Linked DNA regions of Drosophila melanogaster. The gene in region 2 interacts genetically with the main gene of each other region. Each region holds a gene or a part of one and is shown on either strand. Other genes may lie near its edges. The genes, in order: Cyp6t3 and Hr4.

The links.
Region 1: of Hr4 (region 2) and Cyp6t3, changing one suppresses a phenotype caused by changing the other (phenotypic suppression), as found in Drosophila melanogaster (one study listed by BioGRID).

The regions. Positions count from the first base shown.
Region 1 is NT_033778.4:12,188,722-12,193,045, reverse strand, and holds Cyp6t3 (cytochrome P450 6t3), read right to left. Parts: upstream 2,365-4,324; 5' UTR 2,360-2,364; coding exon 1,136-2,359; intron 1,075-1,135; coding exon 793-1,074; 3' UTR 610-792; downstream 1-609. Other genes in the region: CG8858 (uncharacterized protein), read left to right, coding at 1-473; Cyp6g2 (cytochrome P450 6g2), read left to right, coding at 2,684-3,955, 4,007-4,294. UniProt on the Drosophila melanogaster protein: May be involved in the metabolism of insect hormones and in the breakdown of synthetic insecticides.
Region 2 is NC_004354.4:1,940,069-1,945,161, reverse strand, and holds the start of Hr4 (hormone receptor 4), read right to left. Parts: upstream 3,223-5,093; 5' UTR 3,158-3,222; exon of another isoform or gene 2,736-3,157; 5' UTR 2,298-2,735; coding exon 2,269-2,297; intron 1-2,268. Other genes in the region: CG3587 (uncharacterized protein), read right to left, coding at 3,751-4,038, 4,106-4,452, 4,511-4,775. UniProt on the Drosophila melanogaster protein: Coordinates growth and maturation by mediating endocrine responses to the attainment of critical weight during larval development.

The DNA.
Region 1 (4,324 bases), on a different chromosome or scaffold from region 2:
AACTCTTCTTTGCCGAAAACTGTACGAGCATTCTGGCGGAGAGCACTCGCCCAGTGCAAGTCAGTCTGCTGGCAGCACTCACTAAGTACATCGAAAGACTTCATGTCTTTGATGAGTCTGCTCAAGTGCCGGATTTGACTCAGATAAACCAGGAGAAGAAGATCAAGACAGAGGAGACGGCGCCAAAAACCCGAGAGGCCATTGTCGAGAAGATATGCACAGATGTTTTGGCTGCAGTTGCTCTTGCCGCTGGAGTTCCTCATTCCGGTTTGAAAAAGGAGGCGCTCAACATCGTTCTTATGCTGATCAAGCGGCTGAGCGGAAGCGGAAACGGAAACCAGCAGCCACTGAGGTTGATCAAGCAGAGCTTTGAATCGAATTTGGAAAAGTTCCAGCGCGATTCGGCGCCGGAAATCCGGTGTCGCATCAAGGACATCGAAGACAAGCTAAGCAAGTTGAATCCACAGAATTAAGTCATATTAATATAAGCATTTCAAGGATGTGTGTGTGGCCAAAAAATCTGCCTTGGGTAGATTTTATAAAAGGGGGTAAGCGTTAAAAGAAAACATCTAACTTTGGCAAAAATGAATAAGTAACTTGCATGAAGATAATTTTCTATTGTGATTCATTGATCCAGGAGTGTAAGGAAACCTTAAATATACTATCATAAATACTTTCAGTTTCGTTTTAAGTTCAAATTTTAGGGAGCTATTTAGATTATCTATTCTATTTAGATTATAGGAACAAAGGTGATTACATATCACAGCCGATTGTTTTAGGATGCCTATAACTCTACAAACTACTCCTGCAGAATCTTAGGTATATCTCATTCTCAGACTCCAACATGAAGGACTTTGGATTAAAGCGAATCTCCGATACTGTTCGCTCGCAAGTCTCAACCCAATATTGCTTTAAAATGTGCACTATGCCCAGTTTCAATTGGAGTACGCCCAGGCGACTACCAATACAGCCATGTGGACCTGCTCCAAAGGGTATGTAGGTCATCGGGTGGATGTGCCTAGATCGCTCCGGACCGAATCTCTCGGGATCAAAGACGCAGGGCTCCGGCCAAAACTGGAATTTAGATTGACATAAGTAAGTTGGGATAATCATCACCTTTGGTTTTAAATCTAACCCTTTCATCGCGATGGAGGCCGAGTATTGAGATGTATGCTGGCATCCCTGGTGGCACTATGAAATCCACATGCGGTTGCAGTGAGAATCCCTCGGATGCCGAACTGGTGCACTCTCTGTTGACGAAAGCAGCAGCCGGATAGAGACGCAGTGCCTCCAAACACACCATTTTGAGATAGGGCAAAGTCATCAGTGTGTCATAGCTTAGGGTAGCAGTGGAGATGAAGGCTTCTCGTAGCTCACTCCTCAGTCGTTCTTGAATATCCGGAGCCTTGGCCAACTCATAGAGAGTGAATCCCATCAGGGCTGAGGAGGTTTCAAATCCGGCCAGCAGTATGATACCCGCCTGCGAAGCAACAAAGTCCGGATGCTGGGAATAGTGGTTGGATGAGCGGCTCAACTGAAAGTGCTGCAATTGATTGATGAGATCTCCTTTGGTGGGCTCGTGATGATCATCTACCAAGTGCCTCATATAGCGCGCATAGTCTTCGGTAAAAACTTTGGGCTTCAGCACACCCGTCCACTTGGGCAGAAAGAATACACTCATGAAGTCCAAAACCTTGCGGGGATTGGTGTTAAATAGCTCCTTGGTTTTTGTTATCAACTCGGATCGACCACGACGCAATCCGCCGACATTCAGGCTGTAGAAGAGATTCCCCGTCACGTCGGTGGTGTACAACTGGCACATTCTTCCCAACGGGAGAACGCGCTCCAGCCGATCCCCCAGCTTCCTGTTGAGGTACTGCTCCAAGTCGCTGGCCACATCCAACATTTGGCTGTACATGACATCCCGCATACGGCCGCTGGTGAAGAGCTGGGACATGCATTGCCGACTCTCCTTCCAGTGATGGTACTTAGCCAGCGGTAGCGTCAGTGCACCCATGGGATCTCCGGCGTCCGCCGATTCGAACCGGTTGAGAAAGTTGTTGAAATTCTTAATCAACACCTGGCGGATTAGCTCCGGATCCCGAACCATAAGCGCCGGCGTTTGGAATATGAAGAAGCCAACGATCTTCGCCTGACCATTTCGTGGATCTGCGTAGAGCTGCCGAAAGAGATCGCCAAAAGAAATGCGCAGAAATAGAAGTTGTCCCAAATTGCCCATTGGTGACCAAGAGGAGGGTGGCAGGTGCGGAATCCCACGGCTCCTGAAGTAATCGTACTTGTGCCTTAACCAAAAATTCAGAGTCACAATGGTGAGCAACAGCAGCCAGATGAGCAGCATGGTGTCTATAAGATATAAGATAGAATATTATAACTATGAAATATATACCAGCATTAGGTAAAGATAGCTAAGATCCAAAAAGTCGTTCTTTTGAATGAGGAGGAGACCTTGTTCACGACCGTCAAGAAATGCATTTCCATATGCATAAGTTGAACCTGACCCACTTAACATCTCGACAAGCACTTCCATTCACAAATAGATTCATTCATTGCACTCAGGATCATCTTGATGATCTCATAGTAGAGTTTCCGCTTACCCAAAGCTTTAACTCTATGGTGCTGGCAATATTTCAGCCAGTTGGACATTGGGTTTGGTGGCGTTAGCATGGAACTGGTACTGCTGATCCTCGTGGCATCCCTAATAGGGATTGCCTTTCTGGCGCTGCAGCAGCATTACTCCTATTGGCGGCGAATGGGAGTACGCGAAATCAGGCCCAAATGGATAGTGGGCAACCTGATGGGACTGCTCAACATGCGAATGAGTCCCGCGGAGTTCATATCGCAATTGTATAACCATCCCGATGCGGAGAACGAACCCTTCGTGGGCATCCATGTGTTCCACAAGCCGGCGCTGCTTTTGAGAGACCCCGAAATGGTGAGAAATATCCTGGTCAAGGACTTCGCTGGCTTCTCCAACCGGTACTCGAGCTCCGACCCCAAGGGCGACCCTTTGGGATCCCAGAACATATTCTTCCTGAAGAATCCCGCCTGGAAGGAGGTACGTTTGAAGCTATCGCCCTTCTTCACCGGCAATCGACTGAAGCAGATGTTTCCCCTGATCGAGGAGGTGGGCGCCAGCTTGGATGCCCATCTCCGCCAGCAGCCGCTGCACAACGAGCGGATGCGCTGCTTCGACTTGGAGGCCAAGGAGCTGTGTGCTCTCTACACCACGGATGTGATAGCCACGGTAGCGTACGGAGTGAGTGCCAACAGTTTCACGGATCCGAAGTGCGAGTTCCGCCGCCATGGACGTTCTGTGTTCGAGTTCAACCTGCTGCGTGCCGCGGAGTTCACTCTAGTGTTTTTCCTGCCCCACCTGGTCCCGTTCGTTAGATTCAAGGTGGTGCCGGCGGAGGCCACTCGTTTTCTGCGCAAGACCATCAACTATGTGATGTCGGAGCGGGAAAAATCCGGACAGAAGCGCAACGATCTCATCGACATTCTCATTGAGTTCCGTAGGAGCACGCAGCTGGCGAAGGCATCGGGTATCAAGGATCAATTTGTGTTCGAGGGCGACATCCTGGTCGCCCAGGCGGTACTCTTCTTCACCGCCGGCTTTGAGTCCTCCTCCTCGACCATGGCGTTCGCGATGTACGAGTTGGCCAAGGATACGGACGTACAGCAGCGCCTGCGGGAGGAGATCAAGGATGCACTGGTCGAAAGTGGAGGTCAGGTGACGCTGAAGATGATCGAGTCACTGGAGTTCATGCAAATGATTCTGCTGGAGGTGCTGCGCATGTATCCGCCACTGCCGTTTTTGGATCGCGAGTGCACTTCTGGGAGGGATTACTCGCTGGCTCCGTTCCACAAAAAGTTCGTGGTGCCCAAGGGCATGCCCGTTTATATACCCTGCTATGCCCTGCACATGGATCCCCAGGTGGGTTGAGATACATTTTGCATACATTACCCAACGACTACCCTTTTCCAGTACTTTCCTCAACCGCGAAAATTTCTGCCTGAAAGATTCTCGCCCGAGAATCGCAAGCTCCACACGCCCTACACCTACATGCCCTTCGGCCTGGGTCCGCATGGCTGCATCGGAGAACGTTTTGGATATCTCCAGGCGAAGGTGGGTCTGGTTAACCTGCTGCGCAACCACATGATAACCACCTCGGAGCGCACACCCCATCGCATGCAGCTGGATCCCAAGGCCATCATAACCCAAGCCAAGGGCGGCATCCACCTACGGCTGGTTCGCGATGCTTTGGGCGTCTAACTCACCTGAATATGGGATATGGGATAATCT
Region 2 (5,093 bases):
TTGTGTATATGCAACACAAATTTTTACACAGCGAAAAGTTCGAAACAGTGTTTTTTTTTGTTGTAAAATATAAGAAGGGTAAATCCCTTCATTAAGCTTCCATTTCGACAACCCTGAATATTTGAAGCAGCTAAAGACAAACACCAAAACTGGAATCTACTTCGCACCGCAAGTGTGCCATTTAAGATGGCTTTCGGCATTTGACAGCTGTCAGAATTCGGGATGCGGGATTGAAAGCCATTGGTTTTCGGTTTCCCGGATTCCTGCCTGCATGGGCATTTCCCAATACATATGTACATACATATATTCCCATAATTGGGCGCCCAACGTACGTGTGATTGCGTTTGCGTTGCCCAAACCTTTGCCACCCCTGCCGTCCGTCTGTCTCTTTCGCGCACGGGTAAGCCATGTAAACGGGGGTTACATGACATTGAAACCGATTTTGAAGGTTTCAACGTTTGTGGCTCTGGACAGGGTAAGTTCTAACTGCTTCTCCAGAAATACCCGAAACGAAAAACATCAACAGAGCAACGAGAAAACAGACACAAAACCAGAATAAAGCATTGCCCCTTTTTTACGGTCTCTTCCTTGTTTCTTTGCTGTAATGGCGAAATATACACAAATTTTGGAATCACTCTGACGCCCTTGTCACTACATTTTTGGTCATTGACCTCGCACGAACACACAGATACAGCACTCGCACAAGAATTCCAGTGGCGTGCAAAGGGGATTCAAGTTTTGTGGTGCAGAGACCCCAAAAAGTCCAAAAAGCCCAGGAACCCCGAACCAAGAACCCTTTGAAGTTAGCCAGGTTTTGTTGCCTTTACTATTCCCGAGAATGTCCGAGCTGCGAGGACTCGTCCTGGGATCTAAAATCCCCTTAATCAACTGCCGCCTACTCCCCTGCGCCCAGGCACACATGTACATATAGCAATGTAGAGTCATTTGGGACTTGGTAACAAGCGGCAGTCGTAATGCGAAGAAGCAGGGAGCAGAAACAAAACAATGCCCAATGGCCCCAGTCCCCATTTCTGGATGCCACCCCCTCGCTTCCCGTGCCAAGCGGAGAGTCCCCAAGTTCTAGGCGTTGTTATCGTGCGTTTGCCAACCCACCCGCTACTCACACACACACACACACACACACACACAAGCACACACACATCGCAATCAGGAAGAAGAAACCAGCCAATAAATGGGTGGCACAAATGTCGCCGCACTTTCGATGCCCTTCCCACAAACAGGAGTCAGACACAACATAATTTTAAATAATTTTTGATAGCTTACAAATATTTCAAATACTTCGAAATACTTGTTTACAAAAATGTAACAAGAAAATTAAGAAGGTAGCTATTATAAACATACGCGAACAACCCTTTATTTGCGGTCGCGTTTTTTGCGTGTTTGGTTTATCGCAAATCGAACATCATTTCACATACAATATGGAAACTTGGCCAGAAAGGGCATCTGCAAGCCTTTAATATAATTGGGGTTTAGCGGCATTAAAATCGTAGTCATCGACATTCAGCATCAACGATTGTTTATCAATGTGTAAATAAGCAGCACTCGCATACATGCTTGTGTTCGTGTGCGTGTTTCGTATCTGTGTGTGAGTGCGTTCCCAAAAATTTCAATAGCAAAGGTCGATGAACTCGCCATCGGTAGCGTGAGAGAGAGAGAGCAAGAGACGTTTACGTTCATTGTTTTTGTTCCGCATTTCCATTTCCATTTTCTCTGGCCATTTCTCTCAGCTCTCTTTGCCTCTCTCTTTGGCTTTGAGTTTTGCGCGCGCTTCCTCGTTGCGTTTCATTCATAAACAGAGAGCGGCGAACTCGAGCTCGAACTTTTTTATTTCGAGATATCTCGGCCAGGCCAACGAACCGGCCAACATGTGCTTCTGCTGCTGCTGCTGCTCCACCTCCCACCCCTTTTGGTGAACTTTAAGGCGCGGTGACTAAGCCCAAGCGCCTCCTAAACTGCTGAACTTAAGCCCAGCTGGGCTCTATGGGGCTGTAGAACCCCGCAGCCGTAGGCCAATTATAATGCCATCACCCGGATTATTGGTCAGTGATTAAAGTGTTGCGCCATTTGGCGAAATGTACATGTTACTCGTATTTATGGCCAGAGCCTTGAATTCTAATTCTAACGGTCTGCACTATCTACATGATCTAATATGATCTAGTGTGGGAAACCTCCCTAGTCCTATCGATAATCCAAGCGAATGTATTTCGCACTTCTTAAATGCTAGAGAGAATCCTTAGTGGTACTCACTTCAATTGGTCCCGTTGCAGCGGTGTCATCTTTGAGGCATTCGGCTGACGCTTCTCTAGTGGCCAGCGTTTGCGAATACCGTTGATCCTGGAGCCGAAAGCGATACGGATATCGATAATGGTGGTGGCGGAACTGGGGCGATATCCATGCTCCGCGGGCAAGCGAGTATCCGACTACCGTTACAAGTTGATTGCTTGCGGTTGCTTTGAATCACTCTTCTTTTTTTTTTTTTTTTTTTTTTTTTTTTGTTACACACTCACAGCATTTGGCTTAAAACATTTCACTAGCAATTTAGTTGTTGTTCACATTAGTGTATTTGCATTCGTTTTGTTTTGTTTTGTTTTGGGGCTGTTGGCTGATGCAGGATTTCAAGATATGGAGGCTTCAAGATCAAGCAGCTGTTGATTTTTTTGCAGGACTCTTTAGTTAGATTTGCTTTATTTGGGTGGGTGGGGGTTAAACGTCAACTGCAACGGAACACACACATAAAAAATAGAATTAAAAAAATAGCGTCAGTGCCAAGGTGTCGTTATGCATTTTTTTTATATTTGCGCCGCACACACACACGCACGCACGCACACGTACACACACACACAAAACAAAAACAAGCCAATTTTCTGTTGGATCTTTGAAGATGCTTGCAAATTCTTGTTGTCAACAATTAAAAAAAAAATTTTCTTTGCATTTATTCATGTTGCACTTGTAAAATTGTCGCACACACACACAGTGCACCTTGCTGCTAGGGCGAGATAGAGAAAGTGGAGGCCCTTAAAATTTGTTTCACATATCCAATCTACGATGGTCAACAAAATCCTGGAGAGGCAACAAAAAAAACGTAAAAAAATAGTTATTTCGTTTTGTGTTATTATTTTATTTCTTGGGAACCCACAACGGAAATATCGTTTGATTTTCGAAGCGTTTGCTTTCCGCGCGCGACTAGCTCGTGGGATACACTGAACAATCCACCACCGACTGGCACCACCACTCCACTTGCCCCAATCTCGTGCTGCAGCGCTGCGTTGGAAGAGAGCGCCCGAAGAGCGCGCTCAAGAGAGGGTTCTCTTCGTTCCCGCTGCGCAAGAGAAAAGTTCGTTCACTGAACTTTTTTCGCTGTAAGTAGAGTAGATTTTATAGGCGAAGGAAAATATTTTTTAAATTCAAATGGAAATACGTAAATTTTTTTTTATTGATTTCATGTAGTTTTGAACTCACTTTGAACAAACAAAAATGTATTGTTTTCCTTACGAAATAATAAATAAGCAGAAAATGCACTGCAATTAAGTACGCCACAAGAACCCAGAAGAGTCAACTTAATTAATCCATAGTGATAATAATAATCAAAAACGATTTTCATATTAGTATTTAAGCTACATATTTTATTTGATTTCCACATTAAATTGTGTCAACATCAGCCCAAAAACATTATCCTGCTGCCCGAGGTAAGAACTTTATTTTAGCATTTGTCTTGTCGCAATCACAGTGCTAGCAGCCGATCGTGTTGGCATTGATGAACTGCACGAACAAGTGCGGCACCTGCTCCAGCGGAGTGGGTGACGTCTGGCTGGCGTGGCACGTGCTCGTGATGAACTTCTGGCGCAGGCGGTTCAGCTGGAGGGCATTCATCGAAGTGGCGACCTTCACGGGATTTCTGCTCCCTGGGATGCGCAGCTGGCCGAAGGCCTTGATCTTGACGGCGCCGAGGATCTCCTTGATGATCGCCTGCACGATTTTGTCCAGTTCGAACAGGTAGTTGGTTGTTCCCAGCGGTGCCTGCGGAATGGACAAAGCAGTTACTTGTGATATTTTGTCTTCAACTCTGGCCAAGCTCTACGCTTACATTATAAGTACTCTGGTTGGGTGGCAGTGGCTGGGACTCGTACAAGGCCTTGTAGATGGCCTCCATGTCGAGCGTGTCCTTGGGCAAGACTACCACCAGCGGACTGTCCCAACGGTTGTTGCTCTGCGGCTCCTCGTAGCGCTGGCACAGAGCATCAAAAGTCTCTCTGGTGTAGGGAACATCCGAGTTGTCCACCGGCTGAACTCTTTCACTGTCGCCAGGCAGTTCATCCGGCGCCGTTCTTTGGCTATTAAAGGTCCACGCCTCCTCCTGGGGTATGCAGGTAAACACAGTGCACTGGGTGGTCCTTGACACCTTGGACATGCAGTACAATTCGTAGCGGTAGCCTGGAAGAAATTTTGGTTGTGGTTTACGAACCTTAGCTGAACCTTGGTGAGAGCTCACCTTTGATGTAGTTCCCGGCGTCCAAGATGACCAGATCCTCCTGGTTAAGGTGACGCGAGGCTTCCGACTTAAGATCGCTACGTACCACCTTCTCCTTCTGCGAATCACCTGTATGGGAATTCTTTCCAAAACCCGCCTTGGGCACTGCCTCGTTTTCGCTGATTAGATGCACCTTCCTGCCGCGCTCCACGAAATGATCCCGTAGCTGGCGGGCACGTGTGCTCTTTCCGCTGGCTGGCAGGCCCGTAATCACCACGAGGGGCATGCTTCCTAATTAATAACAATAAATAAACAAAGTAGGTGTCGGAACGTTCCGCTCACAATGCACTCGGTTACCAACACTGGTGACAGTGTGCAAGATGAGCATCCATCTGGTTTCGAGCTAGATTTAGATATGTGCTTGCCTTTCACTTCTCATGATTAAAAATATTTGGCTATAAGTCCAGTGCAATTGTGATAAAAAAAAGTGGATAATCTTGTGTACCGTTATTTGTTGGGCCAGCCGATTGTTGCGTCTGAAATTAAAAATGTTGTCCTTAATTTCGTATTTTTCGCTTTTTAGCTATATTTCCACGACATCTGC